Struthio camelus: one gene and its partner. The protein of the gene in region 1 binds, or shares a complex with, the protein of each later gene. Links are inferred from orthologs where the notes say so. Each region holds a gene or a part of one and is shown on either strand. Other genes may lie near its edges.

What was found.
Region 2: the proteins of SYT1 (region 1) and CPLX1 are in contact, whole or in part, in a crystal structure (PDB 5W5C), measured with the Rattus norvegicus proteins. The link is inferred for Struthio camelus from reciprocal best matches to the Homo sapiens genes SYT1 and CPLX1. Residues at the interface, in NP_001028852.2 of Rattus norvegicus: Glu271, Thr383, Gly384, Glu386, Thr406, Leu407, Gln408, Glu412, Met416; in NP_074055.1 of Rattus norvegicus: Val61, Met62, Gly65, Asp68, Lys69, Tyr70, Lys74.

The regions. Positions count from the first base shown.
Region 1 is NC_090942.1:44,750,484-44,758,133, forward strand, and holds the start of SYT1 (synaptotagmin-1), read left to right. Parts: upstream 1-4,442; 5' UTR 4,443-4,539; intron 4,540-7,650. UniProt on the Homo sapiens protein: Calcium sensor that participates in triggering neurotransmitter release at the synapse. May have a regulatory role in the membrane interactions during trafficking of synaptic vesicles at the active zone of the synapse.
Region 2 is NC_090982.1:1,094,180-1,102,415, reverse strand, and holds the start of CPLX1 (complexin-1), read right to left. Parts: upstream 3,165-8,236; 5' UTR 3,112-3,164; exon of another isoform or gene 2,707-3,111; intron 1,829-2,706; 5' UTR 1,751-1,828; coding exon 1,720-1,750; intron 1-1,719. UniProt on the Homo sapiens protein: Positively regulates a late step in exocytosis of various cytoplasmic vesicles, such as synaptic vesicles and other secretory vesicles.

The DNA of each region.
Region 1 (7,650 bases):
CAGGTCTCTCTCTTTTTCTGGAGAAAGCTGATTTCCAAAGCAACGAGGAAGATTAGGGAAACACAGCTGTCAACCCAAAACAAAATCCCTGAACGAGGGGCACCATCTACAGGGGAACAGACTGACACTGACTCAGATCTATCCTTGCGTTACACAGCTGACATCTGTGCAAAACACATGCAGGTTGGTTTGACTATACTTGAACATCCCCTCATAAAAGACCATTTCCATTACCCTTTTCATTTCTATTACCACAGTGTCCTGGAGCCCTGGGCACAAAGCAGGAGCTCTCTGTGTGAGGTACTACACAAATGCAGATCAGAAGAAGCCATCTCTGCATGAACAACTTAAAAGCAGCAGCAGATGCATAGAGATGAAGTGCAAGAAACCAACGAAATCCAAATGAAACATTGAGATAAATATTGGTCAGTGGACTAACCATAATTCTTGTTTTTTGATTCTACCCTTTGATTTCTAACTAGAATGAAAAATAGCAAAAACAAAACCAATTTCCTCCACTCCCTCTGACCAACTCATCTCACACATTGCTCCAAAAATCATCTTCAAAGACAGACTTTACATGACACACTTGCTTTTGTTAGCTGTGTACAGCTGAATAGCTACGCCACTTTTTGTTTTACTGAAGTTTAATTCTCACTTTTGCAACTTAGCTTTCTCTCTTTGACTTCAACTCTTTCATGTTCCCCTGATGTAGACTTGACTTTCTGACTAAGAATGTGCCTTCTAATGCGCCCACATCATCGTCACCTGAAACTGAAATCAGTGGTGGGATGAGAGTGTCATACAATGAAATCTCAAGATTTTAAGTTTTCACCTGTATATACTAGCCCTGGGATACCCAGTAAACTGTACAGTAAAGAGTGGACATTTCATTTCCTAAGATGGACAGTTTTAGAAGCACAAAGGCTCACAGAATCAGAACCTCTTTCTAAATGCTGTCCCATCTACCTAATCACAAGCTAGTTCCTTTGTCTTTAGGCATATAAGCTGCTCCACATACGTGAGAAAAGTCAAAAAGAAGGGAAAAATAGGAATGAAATCAAATGAAAATGAAGTGAAATCCTCTTTCTGGTAAAAATAGGTACCTGTGATCTTTGGCAACAAAAGGCTGGTGAATAATTTGATTATAATGATAGCTACAGTTCAGTTCCTGTTAGTTTACAGCTCCAAATTCTGCCTGGTAAGTAAGTTAACATGCCAACAATATCACTTGCTCCTTCACTCAGCTGCCTATTTGCCCTCATTTCCCATCTTGTACAGCTAACTGTGGCAGTCCTGATACTGGGTCAAACAGTTTCTGAGGTACAAAGGGAATCTGATGGTAGCTTGGCCCCCCAACCAGAGTCCTAACTGCTGTTTTTTGATATGCTACGACTGCTCTTGCTCCTGAATTTGCCTCAGTTCAGTGACTGTTATTCCACTATCTGCTCTTTATAAGCTGTAAAACTTCCAGGGTAGGCCTGAGTGTACTTTGGTGTCACTGGCTTTTGCCCAGGCTTTCTCATTGTTTATGGGGCAAGCAAGAGTCTCTTACTTTCCAGATCTAATTATGGCTCATACTACTTTCTATTCTTGAGGTTTTACCTGGAAGACATAGTTTACAGAAAACAAAAAATAAAAATGGCAAAGATAAATGTTGCATTATTTCTGATCTTGCTTTTTGATTCAGATTCTTTCCAGATGCTCCTGTACCTCTGGCTCAGTCAATGTTTAAATTAGAAACAGGGGATATGAGGGATAAATCAATTCTTCATTCTTACTTTACAGGATTCCTGATCAAACTTCTGAATGTTCATTTACAATCCTCTTTCGAGGCACTAATGAACATTATAAAAACAAAACAGAACAGGTCTAGCGTTTCAGAAAACCATTTCTTCTGGCTTTGCATATTTCTTCTTCTTCCTCAGCATAGGACACCTTCTCCTTCCCTGAACACAACTGTGGAAGACACAATAATAATAATAATGACAAATACAATGATCTGCATTTTGTGAGTTTAGTGATTAGCATTTGGCTAGCACTTCAAGCATTCATTTAACGGCTCTTGAGCTCTTCTACAGCTCCTTTGCCCATTCAGGACTGCATGTTGTCCCTCAAATTTCATAGCTTCTTTACGTTTAATTAAACACTATGACTGGACAGTAACTGCCCATTTCCTTGAGGATGCGGTAGTGAAGTAAAACTTGTTTATAGTACTGGAGACCTCCTTCTGTATGAATCAGCTTTGGGGCCTGAAAGGAACCAAGGCAAGCTGAGTACGTGTGCTAAAAGGAATTAAACCTCTGCAGTAATTTTTTTCCAGTGCAAAGTGGAAAAGAGAATAGGTGAAACGTCTCCCATGCAGCCCCTGTGTATGGTCTCCCACAGAAAATGGGTGAGAAAGGGATGGTCTACACTCTTCAGGGCTACTGCTAGAGAGCGTTTCTGTTCCTTACTGTCTGTACACTAGGAGAGGGCCACTGGGCCTAAATGATGTTTCTTTCTATGCTGAAACACTAAGACAGTGTGTCACGCCTTGTGAACGCAAGACTCCCACAGACTTCTGCCTGTGTGGCTCTTAGGAACACAGCATCAGGTCCATACAGTTATCTGCATCAAAATAGCTGTGTGTGTTTTTTTTTTAACTGACCAGATAAACGATCCTAGAGAAAATAATCACAGAGATCTGTTGTACTGAGAGAGAGAAATTACATGGGGTAATCTGGGCGTTAACGACTGCACTTTTGCACGCACAGGATAAAAAACGGCAGCTCCTCCTTTGTGTAGGTCAGCAAGAGCTGACTGATCTTTCCTTTCCTTTCCTTTCCCTTCCCTTCCGTTTCCCTTCTCGTGGCCTACCATGCCTGTATAAGAAAGACTCATAATGTGACTAAGAGACATAAGAGGACATGTCCAGCACGGATGGGATCACAAAACATGTATTTCAACCGAGCTGGAAAAGGACCGTGACTTTTCAGAAGCAAATACCACCACAAATGTATGGGTGGGGAATGGCAAGATGATGTCTTGTGGAAGTCGAAGTAAGTTGCTTACTTCTGGACATGCCTGGGAGCTTTAAGAGCTTAAACTTGGTCAGCTGTCTGCTAACGATGGCATGTTGAAAGAACGCCTCTTCTTGCCCACATTTGCTATGCATCATATTAAGCTACAATTTAGATAACGTCATATTCACTTCATGTGTGCTAAGTGAAACCAAGCGAATGGTTATGAAATACATTGATACTTACTAAAGATTTCTTAGAACAACTGTAATTCTGTAATATCCTGTACTGTTATGCATCAAGAGTAGGCTGGAACCTGTACGTTTGGTTCCTTGAAGCCCACTACAGGTTACGGAAAACTGTTATGTAAATATCATGGTATTATTTCTAGAATTGTGTAAATAAAATTGTATTTCCCTCCTGTAACTTTGACAATGTGCATGCAACAATAACAAGCTAAAGAACAAAGAACTTCAGCCTGCTGTATCTTTAAAAGCTAAACTTACATCTAAATCTATTCCCACTTCCCTCTGGAACCTGAGTAGCTCTTTATGTTGTATTAAACATTAGACAAATAGGATAGATCTAATTAAAAGTTGGAGAAATGTGCCTCTGCTAATTGAATTTGCTACAGTTACATTTTGGAGACCAATGTTAATCAAAGCTCCGGTTCAGAGCGGCTGGACCTAGGGAATTTAAGTTAACCGTTACATCTCCTTACCTGAATGTGCGACAAAGCCTGCTCTTGCGCAAGCCAAAGCGCCCCACCACGGGCCGCCGCCCGCCGCCGCTGCCGGGGCGGCCCGGGGCCGCGCGAGCACCGACCCCGCCAACCGCCCCAACCGCCGCCGGCCAACGGCAGCCCAGGCCGGCGCCCCCGGCACGGGGGCAGCCAGGGGCCAGCCCCGCCCCTCCCCGCCGCCTCGCGGCCCCCGCGCCGACCCCGGCCGCAAGCGGCGGCGGCGGCCACGCGTGGGGATGCCCGGCCGCCCGGCCGCCCGCCGCCTCGCGGCCCCGCCCGACGGGGCGGACAGGGACCCGCACGGCCGCGGGATGGGCGCGGCCGCCGCCGCGGCTCCACCCATTGTAGGCGCGGCGCCATTGGCTGGCGGCGCCAGGCTCCCCGCCTCCCAGCCAATGAGGGAGGCGGGCCGGGGGTGATGGGCTGCCTCTCGCGGGAGGGATTCCTAGAGCCGCTGCAGTGTGGTGGCGCTCCCGGCGCCGCGCAGCCCCCGTGCCGCCTCCGCCGCCCTGCCCGCCCTACCTACCTACCTACCCGCCCGCCCGCCCGCTGCCGCCGCCGAAACTTGCCGCTCGGCTCGCCGCGGGGCGCCGGGGCAGCCTGCCCGCGCGGGGGCGGCCCGCCGCGCACCCCCGCGCCGCCCGTTGTGCATCGCCGCCTCGTTCCCCCCCCCCCCCGGCGGGCGGGGCCGGGCCGGGCGGGGCCGGGCCGGGCGCGCGTGTGGTACCGGTGCCGCCGCCGCCGCCGAGGGGAGAGCGCCGAAGGACGGGCCGGCGCGCCCGCCCCCGCCGCCAGGTAAGGCAGCGCGCCCGGGGACAGCGCCCGGCGACGGGGGCTTCCCCGGCGGTGGCGGTTGGAGCCGGGGGGGGGGCGGCTGTCGTGCCAGCGGCGAGAGCACATGCTCCGGGGGCGGCTGCGGGGCTGCCGCGCCAACGGCCGCGGGGTGGGGGCGCCCCCTCTTCTCTCCCCCCCCCTCCCCCCGGCCTGGGCGCTCCCGGTGGACAAAGCGGGAGCCCCGGGCCGGGTCGGGGCCCGCTGCGCTCGCCCTCCGCGCCCGCGGAGCGCTGCCCGGGGGAGGGTGGGCGGGCAGCGCCGGCTGCCGTCCAAGTCGCTTTTCTCACCTGGCGGTGTCCGGCCCCCCCGGGTGGGCTGTCCCGGAGGTGGGAGCTGCGGCCGCCCCCGCCGGGGCTCCGCGGGTGCCCGCAGGGGTGTCCTCGCCCAGCACCAACCCCCCCCCCCCCGAGGGCTGACCTTCCCTGCTGGCAGGAGGACAAAACCTAGTAATTTTTGCATCAATTAAAGGAAAAAAAATTCCTCCATTACTTACTTGTGTGGGTTTTTCTTTTCTTTCTTTTTTTTTTTTTGTGTAAAACCCATGCCATTTCATTTTGCTTCCACAGACGTTATTTCCCTCACCTTATTTATACAGCTTCCTTACTTTGATTTCTGATTGTATTATGGGTCCATTTCACGTGCATGCGCATGATATGGGTAAAGGATCGATGCTCTGTTTTGGAAGTTAAATCGGCTTATCAAAAACTTCCAGGTAGAGTAGTCAGAAATTGACAAAGAATTGTTAATATTTCTTTTTGTTTCAAGTCTTGTGAAATAAAGATATCAAACAACTAGCAGCTTCTAGTAGTGAGTATAGTAAGTAAATTAAATGTAGTCATTGGAATGAGCCTTTATGGCACTTTCAACAATCTGTAATTCAATCATCTCTGATACAAGCTGCCTTTTGCTATTATTCATCAGACCCAGCTGAGTGATTTCTGTCAGATGGGAAGTGGTAGAGAGAAATCTCTAGGTAAATGTAACTGGAAAGCTTTCCAAGTGGAGTCCTAAATGAGCACAGAAAAGCACTTGGCTGCAATCTGGAGACAGATGTTGGCATCCAAATAAATCATTTCCTTTGATTGTTTCGGGGAGTGGGGGTGGTGGGTGTCAGGGCTTATTTTCCTTATTTAGTACCCATTTGTGAGTGAAGAAGCAGCTCGGTGCTTATGACCTTGCAAACTTAATGTAAACTGCTTTAATTCAATAGTATTTCCCTGTCTTTCAAATACTATTTTCCGTACAGGGGTCAGTACAGTGATTTTTAGATACAGATATACGTTGCAGTCTGCAACTACAGGCTACTACTAATCAACAGCTGCAATATTGATCCTTCAAGGAGCTATCCAGTGTGCCAGCCGTGCTTTATGTTGATCTATCACATGCTGTTTAAACTGCTTTATTGTCAGAGAGAGTTATTTTCATCCTGAAAAAGAGAAGGCAGTAGTTGTAGACCCAAGAGGAGACTCCTCTCCCTGGTGGGTTAACATCTAGAGTTACAGATGAGCGAGCGTACATTTTAGGAATGACCCTGAAAAGGGGTGTGGGGGCGGGGGGAGGAAGGAAGCTCTTGGGTACAAGGACAAGGGGGCAACAAATTAATTTGCCTTGTGAGTACATGAATTGACGTTTTTAGCCATGCTTACACTTTTTCTGAACAGGTTAGTTTAAGGAAATTCCATGTGTGTCTAGAATGGTATTTTCTTGCCTATATTGGGAACAAATGACCTGATTTTATTTTTTTTATGTCCCAGAGTCAAATATATTTTTATTTTCCTCCCAAGTTTTTTTGCAATTGTAGTTCTATTAGTAGTGTCCAAGGGGAGTATACTTTAATGTGGTCTATTACTTGGCTTGTGGTATAGTTGCTCAAAATTTGCATGCGTGCAATGCATAAATTGAAAAACTATGTAGCTTAAAAATATAGTGTAGGCAGCTGGAGTGAGAAGAGATGATCTTAAAAAAAAAAAAAAAGAACCACAGGGCAAAAGATAATGACATACCGTAGGAAATAATCATGCTCCTGCACTTGCAAAAGCGTGAAATGTTCCAGTGTAGCCATTTCATACAAGCCCAATTTTCCTTCGCATTAAGAGTGCCTAAGTGAGCCTTATTAATGTTTGATGCAAAAGATGCTAAATCCATTTTAAGGATTGATACTGGAATTTAAAGAGGTAGCTCACAGATTAATAGTGCAGTTCTAACACTTCCAACAAATAAACATAATCACTTAAAATATATACTATAGCAGTGGAAATGGAATATAACGTTCTCTGTAGCAGTGTCTAATGACAGACTAGAAGCTCTTTTAAAACCATAAATATAAAATAATATTTGGTTTACAATCCAAAACTTTCTCCCATCTTGTTTGTAATGTAAATCAGATGTAAGAACCCAGAAAACATTCAGCTTCGATTGGCGTAGCAGTTCGGAAGCTGTAAAAATAAAGGAAGATTCTGTTTGTCAGAAACACAGGAAAAATCTATACTAGTTCACCTAGCATAAAGAGAACAGAAACATAAAATCAATTTTTATGGCCTTTTTGACAGGGTTTGCTGTAATATGTAAAAAGAAAAAGTAGTTCAGAATCCTAGAAGTTTTTAAGCCACTCAGCCTTATAGAACTTAAAGTTGACTTATGTTTCCTTAAATAAAAATGAAGCTTTTATTTAGCATATTGCACTTTTTTCTTATCCATTCAGCACTCTTAGTTTAAAAAAATCCTTATGCATAGATGTGTGTATGTTTTTATATATAGATAGATACATATTTAAACACACAGATAAATTCTTACTGGCAACTGAGTTCTGAATAAAAGGGTGTACGCATCCTTACGTTACCTGCTCTGGAAGAGACATCAAAGTTTGCAATACAACTGAAAAGGACAAGAAAATATTTCCCCATGTTGCAGAATAAAAGCACGGAGGTATTCTTATGCATGGATATCATGATCTTCTTCCCTCTGCTGGTGATGTCCATCTAATTGTGCATTTTCGTGAAGAGAAATACGTGATCATTGGTTTACTTCGATTCTCTATAGAATATGTTTGTTTTAAACATTACTCAGTATCTT
Region 2 (8,236 bases), on another chromosome or scaffold:
CTGAAACTCATAATTCACCAACAGACGCTTTTTGAACCTGCCTTCTCAGCAGCTCGCATTATAAAGCAAATCCTGACCCTGGCATGCAACATTATGTTAGAGTGGATGTCTGCCCAGAGTAAATGCTCCTTAGCAAGGGCAGACACTGCTTCCAAATCCTGTTAGTTACTAAGCCACAAGAAAAGGCATGCATCGCAATTTTTACTCCTTTGCTGCAACCCTCCTCCCGCTGCCTTTAACTGCAGTCACTAAGCAGTTACTTCCCTTTAATGGATTCTCCCATCTCCAGCTGCACAGGCAAGATCTCCAGTTTGTAGGTACCCTTGTTCTCCTCAGTGTAAGCAACTTCATTCACACTATAGCTAATGGTGCAAAATCTGTCCTTCACAAAATTACTTCTCTTTCAAAATAAACACCGAAGAGTAATGAAATGGAACAGTACTATCATAAGGACACATATCAGCTTGCATAGCTTCAATCCTGCTATTTTGTGCAATTAAAGCGGAACCTTTCTTCTTCTTCAGTTTGACCTTCAAAAACACCCCAACCAAAGCTTGGAATGCTTGCTCTGCTCTTTACTACAAGATCTTGCTACTTGGTGAAAAAGCAGTTCCTTTTCCTTTGAAGATGAAAACCATGTTTCTATGCCTTGGAAGGGACTCCTGCAGTCAAAGTATCTATCAGGTGTTGAAACTGTCCATGACATCAGTTAAACCAAGCATGAAACATGTAAGAAACATACTCTGAGCCCCATGGCTCTATAGTTTCTCCAGAGGAAAACGCATAGAAAAAACCACATACATTATACAGTGGGGGTGGGGGGAGTGGGGGATCAGAATCTCCTCATTGACTTCCTCTCAGGCCAACCATTCCAGCTCCCTGCAGGAACCTGTATTCATCATTCAGTGAGAGTCTTGTTTTGACTGAACATTCAAGCCAAGCAGCCCAGGAAGGGACCATAATTGCAAGAGAAAGAAGGAATCTCATTCACAAGTACTTCTGTGTTGTTTTCCTTTTCACCCCCCCCCACCACTTTCCCTCCTCCCCCCCCATTTTTAGGTTAAAACAACTTATCACATATAGAAGGAAACAAACTGAAATTACATTAAAGGTCTGCCTCAAATCCAGGTAGGGCAAGTGGGTGCCGAGGGTTAATTTATAATTATTTCCCTGCTCATTGCAGCAATATTGTTAAAAATAACTCCTCTAACACGAAGTACAGCAGCATCTGCACTGTCTTTACTTTGGTTTGGCTGAAGTTTGGTGGGGGGAGCGAAAAGGGGTTCCCACACACATCAAACGCTACTCTTATTTTTGAGTGTGCTCTGACTAAACCTGCCTGCAGCCCTTGCAAGACCTGCCTTAGGCATGGTAGGACATGAAGCAGAGCAGGACCCACACAATGCATAGCGGGTACTAGCAGCCAGCTAGTACCTGGCTAGGCACTACCCAGGGCCTGAGCACCTCGTGTGGCAGGTCTCTCCCCTGACGCACGGCTTTGGTCTCTGCGTGTTGCTGCCCTCTCCTGCTCAGATTGCTCAGATACTTGGCTCTGAGGCCGCAAATCAGTGACCAGGACGCTGCTGGGTCCCCAAACAGCTCTTCCAGCTGCAGACCCTACTGGAGGCTGTCAGAGGTCCATCCTCTCTCTCAGCTGGGGGTGGGGGGGGAGGGGAGGAGGAGGAAATCTGTGGCTCCCCCAGTGCCAACCACACTTACCTCCTAAAGCTTGTTTCATAACAAAATCCATGGCGATGGCTTAGGGGTTGCTGCCCGGTTTCACAACTGACATGCAAGGAGAGCAGGAATCCTGTCCTTGGAGGGCAGCCTGTGAGGAGACACCAACATCAAGAGAGGAACAGTGTCTCCTGGAGGAAGGATCTCTCAGCTTGCCCAGCCCAGACCTGCGGTCATCCCTCCCCGCAGCCTTCCTCCAAGTTTCCCACCCCGAGGCGTGCAGAGCCCGGCTGGCAGGACAGGGCACCCCAGCACGGGGGGGGGGCAAAGCAGCACCAGGGCAGGGTGGGGACACGGCAGACCCCCCCCGTGCAGGGCTGTCCCGAGGGGAGCGCTCCGGCGGCCAGCCCGCGGCGTTCAAGCGGGGCAACTTTCCGCCTCCCCGCCTGCCTGCCTCCCCCTGCAGCTCGCCCGCTGCGTCGGGGGCCGCCGCGGGGGCGTTTGAAGGTGAAGCGCCCCGCAAAGCCGGGCAGGTGCTGCGCGCCCGGGTGCAGCCGGCCGGCGGGGCGCAAAGCGCGGGGCAGGGCCCCCTCGCCAAAGCATCCCCTCTCCCGGCGGAAACCCCCCGGGGCAACGCCAGCGGGGGCTGCACCTTCCCCGCAGGACGGAGTGGGACCGCCCGGCGCCGGACACGCGGGGCAGCGCCGGCGGCCGCTCCGTCCGTGCGGGCTGGGCTGCTGCTCCCCCGCGCCGGCCCCGCGGAGCCGGGCTCGGCCGCCCCGGAACAAGCGCCCCGCCGCCACCTCGGCCCGGCACCGGCACCGGCACCGGCACCGGCACCGGCACCGGCACCGGCACCGCTCCGCCCGCCTCCCCGCGGTGACCGGGTGGAAGCGGCATGGGCAGCAGAAGGAGGAGGAGGAGGAGGAAGGCTTCCCCGCAAGCCTGCAGCCCCTCCGCACGGCGGCAGCACTCCTCTCCTCGGCCCGCGCCCGGTCCCGCTCCCGGTCCCGGTTCCGGCGCCGATACCTGCCGGCGGCGGGGGCTGCGCTGGGGCCGGCGGCCCCGGTGCGGGCGGCGGCAGGTGCCGCGACGAGGCTGCTCCGCTGCTAGCGGCTCCGGCGGCCCATGTGCGGCGGTCGGGGAAGTTGCGGGGTGTCGGGACACGGGGCAGAGGACGAGCCCGGAGCTTCTCCCTACTTTTCCCCCCCCGCGCCCCTCTTTTTATCACGGGATTTCCGGACCATCCCACCGACACGGTCCCTCCTTCCTCCTCCCCCTCGCCCTGCTGGAGCCAGGCTCTCGCCCTCCCCCTGCCTCCGGCTCGCCCGCCCCTTCCCTGCGCCGCCCTCGCCCCCCGCAGCCCGCCGCCGGCAGGGCCGCAGCGCTGCAAGGCACGCCGAGGGGTGCGGGTATTTTGTGCGCGTCCCCCACCCCTTCCGCGGCTGGCTGCGGGAGGCAGCTGTCCTGGCGCTTTGCTCAGGCAGGATTCATCCTGCTGTGCATTTCGCAACTGCTTCCTGGCGTTTCCTCGGGAGTCAGGGTGCGCCGTGAGGGGGGAGTCTGCAAATGCAGCTTCCTGCTCACGGGGTAAGGCGGGCAGCGCCCCGCGTCCTGCGCTGCGGCTCCTTCCCGGAGATCCCCGTTCATCCCCTCGGCCCGGGGCGGCGAGGCGGTGCGGAGAGGTGGAGAGGGAAGGCAAGGAAGGAGCAGCGCTTTCTCTCACCTCCGCCGCCTCGGGCTTTGCTATACGGCCGGGGGAGGATCGCCGGCGGCTCCGCTCAGCCCTCTCCACTCCGGAGGGTTTGGCAGCCTGGGGAGGCTGGAGGAGATAGGGAAAGACCCCCCTGCTTTGCTTGCTGAAGGACGTGGGGGGAACGAGCCCAGTCGCTGGTCTGCCTTCCTGCTGCCAGCAGGAGAGCTGGGAGAGCAACCCACAAGGGGCCAATATGGGGCCAAAGTCATCGCAGTAGTAGGGGGAAGGATGCAAGAGCAGGGCCAGGGAAACAATCCTCCCCCGGGACAGCCGCCGAGGCCCCTCCGGCTGGCCGAGTCTCCGGTGCCGGCTGCAGGGACCGGGGCACATGGTGCAATGCTAAGGCCGCCTCACTCTGCTTCAAGCAGCTTCACTGAGGCTCCATGACATCAGCCTAGGAAGCTCTGCTAGATGGGAGAACATGCTGCACTTTCACTGACAGCTTTCAGAAATCCAAGCAAAAGTTAGTAACAATGGGGGAGAGAGGGAGCAAGAGGAAAAAAAAAAAAAGGTCGAGGAAACAAAGCCTTTTTTTCTGAGCCCTCACTTGCCTCTGGTATTCCCAGTCCAAAGGGGATGCTGGAATCCTTTCCATGCTCTTACTGCCTTTCCATTGCCTAACTGTACTGTAGGAGTGACTAAGCAGAGAGGAGAGCACCCGGGAAGTGAAGCTGGGAGCCCACTAAAGGTAGGTACCCAGGTTTCCTGTGCAGTCATGAGCTATTTCCAGATCTGTGTTGCCTCCCTGGGTGCCCACATCATTTTGAGTAGGACTCATATTTTGGGTCTCTTGTGCAGCACCTCACATCTCCTCTTCATCATGTGATTCCCCTTGGAGGGGAGGACAGTGTGCCCTCCCCTCCACCCATTAAATATCAACAGGGTCACCTTCCTCCGATTGCCTGGAGTTTGGGAAGGAACTATTCAAATCCCCTCAAACACAAGGAACAGGGAAGGACGAGCTGACAGGTACACAGTTAGCATTCCCAAGACCCAGATATCTTTTCCCCACTTTGGGGAGCTTGGAGCATGGTAGTTCAAGAAACTCCTGTAGCAGGCCAGGGTCAGCACAGCCAAGCAGGGCTGCTGAGAAATGTCATCCTTCTTATCCATAGGGACCTTAGCTTTTGTTTATTGATACAATGAACTTTGTGACTGGGCATGTCCTCCACTACATATATATACAAAGGAAAAAGAGTAAAGCCAGGTAAAGCAACGGGCACACCAGGCAGAAGGCCCCTAGAGGTCCTAATAGCCTCTGGCTGATCAATTTGTAGCTGATGCTCTATCCCCAGAGCCCCAAGCAAGTGCCCCTCCAAAGGTGGTGTCTCCATGATCCTGTCCCCAGCCTAGTCCCGCTTCTTCCGGATTACTCAGTTGTTGTAGAAACCTGAGACAGTTTGAACTCAGGTTCAAATGCAGTGAAACACTACCCCAGTGCCCATCATTTCTCACCTCCATCTTCCTCAAGAGGGAAAGAGGGACATAACACTGGATCACCAAACCACAAACCCCTCTGAGAGATTTCTAGGTAGACTCAGCTTCAGCATCTCTCAACTATCCTAAGTGTCAGCCTCAAAGCACCTCCCCCCCCCCCAGGATGTACCTTCATGAAAAGATGAAAATCCAAACACTTGTGGGCCAGATGTGGGTACCTTCCATATTCAATAACAGACAGAAAAGATCCCACTAGCACCCTCGCTCACCAGGTAGGGTTTAAGTAGAGAGGCAAGGGTGGACACTTGGAGTCCAGTGCTACTGGCCAAAGAGAGCAGCATCACAGAGAAATGAACCAGGGAGCAGATGCTTCTGACATCAGCCCCATTGTACCACAGTTCAACCTCAGCTTCATGCCACTTTGGACACCAGCTGCCAGGCAATTGCAGATAGTCCATTTTCTCATCTGTGATAGAGGCCAGCACTGGCTGATTTGGAGAAGACACAATTTTTTTCACTACATCAGCTAACGACCTAAATACCCAGTAAAAAAGAGAGGAGGTAGGCTAGAGATCCATGTCCAGAAATGGTCTCAGAAAGGCCTTTGGAGGAGGCTTTTGACTGTGAAATGGAACAATCCCTCAATTTACTGAGAAACCCAGCTGGGTGGACTCATAGGTGATTTTCCAGGGGTACATGGCTTCTGCTACAGGAGAAATAACAGCTCACCCAGCCTTGGCAATCATACGAGCAATGCCACATGGATCTTCTTTCCGATGGCATAGAACAATAGGTTGTGGCCAGAACACTTTATGAGTGTGAAACTCAAGGTAAAATAATTGAATAGCATACTTAGTGGACAGCAACAAACCTCTGAAATAGCAATATTTTCTGATGAGCACAAGTGAAACAGAGGCTGGCACCTCTAAGTGGAGTTTATCTCAGTACCATGGGACAAAGGAGAACTGCAGCACACTCTGAGGCTACCCTTAACGTGTCTAGCTTCCCCAAACACCGAAGCCAGCTCTTAGCCTAGTTTGCGTTATGTAGCTGACATCCCTCAGCTCCCTGATTCCAGACCTGATGGTGGGCACAGGCCTGTTCTCTGTTCTTCCTCTCTAGAGCTGGAAAAACAGGAAGGTACTCTGGGACCTTCCTTGGTGCAGCTAAAGGGTACCAAAAATTCAGAGCAAATATCTCCTTCACAGGGCTTTGTCTAGGGAGCTCAGACTCCTTGGTCACTGGTTGAGAGCCTCTACTTTTGCCAACGTCAGCATAAGCAGATGGAATAAGCCATCAATCAGTTATGGTCACATTTCCCACAGAAAAAAATGAATATTCAGGTCTACAAAAAAAGAAAAAAAAGAAAAAAGGTCTCTTTCAAAAAAATAAAACTTCTGAATGAGTCAAGATGTTTCATTTCAACATCTTTAAATGCAATGTTTGATTATTCAATTCCATATGGTGTTTGACTACTAAAGTGAAATCAATGTGTTAAAAAGATGCTAATAAAAAAGCTCACAAACTGAATATGAAGGTTAGAGTGAATATGTAAATAGCTATCCGAAATGAACATAACCTGTTTCTTCTTTCTGATTTTTTTTTTTGCCACTTTATCTCTCACACTGATGTTAACCGCAGCAACATTCAGTGCACTGTGGGCAGGACCTGGATGCTGATGAGATGATTACAGTCTTTAATCAATACAGCAACTGAGAGGGATGAGCTAGAAACCTGCGACAAGTAGTTTGTGTGGTTCTCGTCCTTCCAACTGTTTAGCTCAATGAACACAAATCTATTGCATGTTCCTCATAGCTGTCAGTTCTGGATGTCTGTCAAAATATTTCAAAATTCAGGCATTTTTCTCTCTTCAAGATGATTGCTTTGCTTACTGTTGTTCCACTCAGTTTACAATAGACTTTTAAGCACGCTCTTTATTTCACAACCAAATAGAAAGTAGGTTTCTTCTTTTTAAGAAGTGGATATTCTCCCTGTAAGCCAAAACTACGAAAGGACTTTTTAAACATTGTGCCCAGCTCTGAAGAAAACGTCCCTCCAGGTTTCTAGAAGATGACTTTTCCAGGTGAGCATTTGCTGCAGCTGTCACAAGGCCAGCGTTCAGTCATCTGTACTTATAAAGCCTGATTCAAGCATACATTGCTCCACGTCCATGTCTTGCAGGGATGTGCCTGCATATCATTTCTTTCTGCTCAGCTCAGGGTGTCCCAGCCTGGTTTATCTGACAAGCCCCTCGCTAGGCCCCCAGTGACAGCTACTCTGTCCCCTGACATTGGTGATTTCTTGTTTATCCTCTCCCTTTTTCCAGCCCTCTTGTTCCTGCAGCTCTGTCTCTCCTTTCTGTTTCCTGATGGTTCTCTAGACAAGTCCTTGCCTTGCTAGACAGGGACGAAGCATCCCATCTCAGAGGAGCTGTTGTTGCTGCAGATGTGCACAGTTGTGTAAAAGTAGTTTCCCAAAGATTCTGTAGCTCTTATCCCCAGGATATCTACTCCTGTGCATTGTAAGGCCTCTTCTGCAAACAGGATCTGGTCACAGAGCTGAGAATCCATCTTTATCACCCCAGTGTTCATTCCAGGATGTCTCCGCTCAGAGTGCATCAGCTTTGGTTGTGACATTACCATCTGGGGTATTTTTGACAGAAATTTTTCGATCCGTAAATAAGACTCATCCAAACTCATGTGTTTTATGGAAATATGTCAGTTTAGACAGAAGTTTCAAAGGGAAACCAGTTAAAGGAAACACTCTGGCTTTCTCATATTTGATGCTTTTGAGACTTCCTCTTTTGACATGGCAAAAATGCTGCACTTTGGCAACGACTGAACCTTTTTGCCTTGACTTTTCTCTTCCAGCAAAAAATATGTCTGCTTCAAAACTACACGCTTCAGTCACATCAGATTACCACTTTGGGTTTTTTTTTCCAGATTTTCCACTTCATAGGGGAAGAAGTCACATTTTTCCTCTTTGTTGCAATTTGGAGTGGAAGAAAGTTTCAAAATGTCAGACATCCTTTAGAACAGAATTTCTATTCCTTCCAGCTCGCTCCATGCCTTGCCTTCTGTCATTACTCTAGTCCTTGCCAGAGAAGGGAAACAGAGGGAAACAGCATGTTCAGATGAGACTCCAGCTTACTGCCAGACTCTGTGCCCTGTTGTTCTTCTACTGCACAGAAAGAGAGTGCTTCCAGGTTCTCAGCTCAGCCTGAAAGGTAGACATTCACCTCAGCAGACACAGTTTCACATCCATAACACCCAGCTTAATTGTTTATTATTTTTAACTTTTCATTAGGCACGAAGGGAATATATGCATATTTCTTCAGATACTATTGTCCTTACCACAGCAATCACG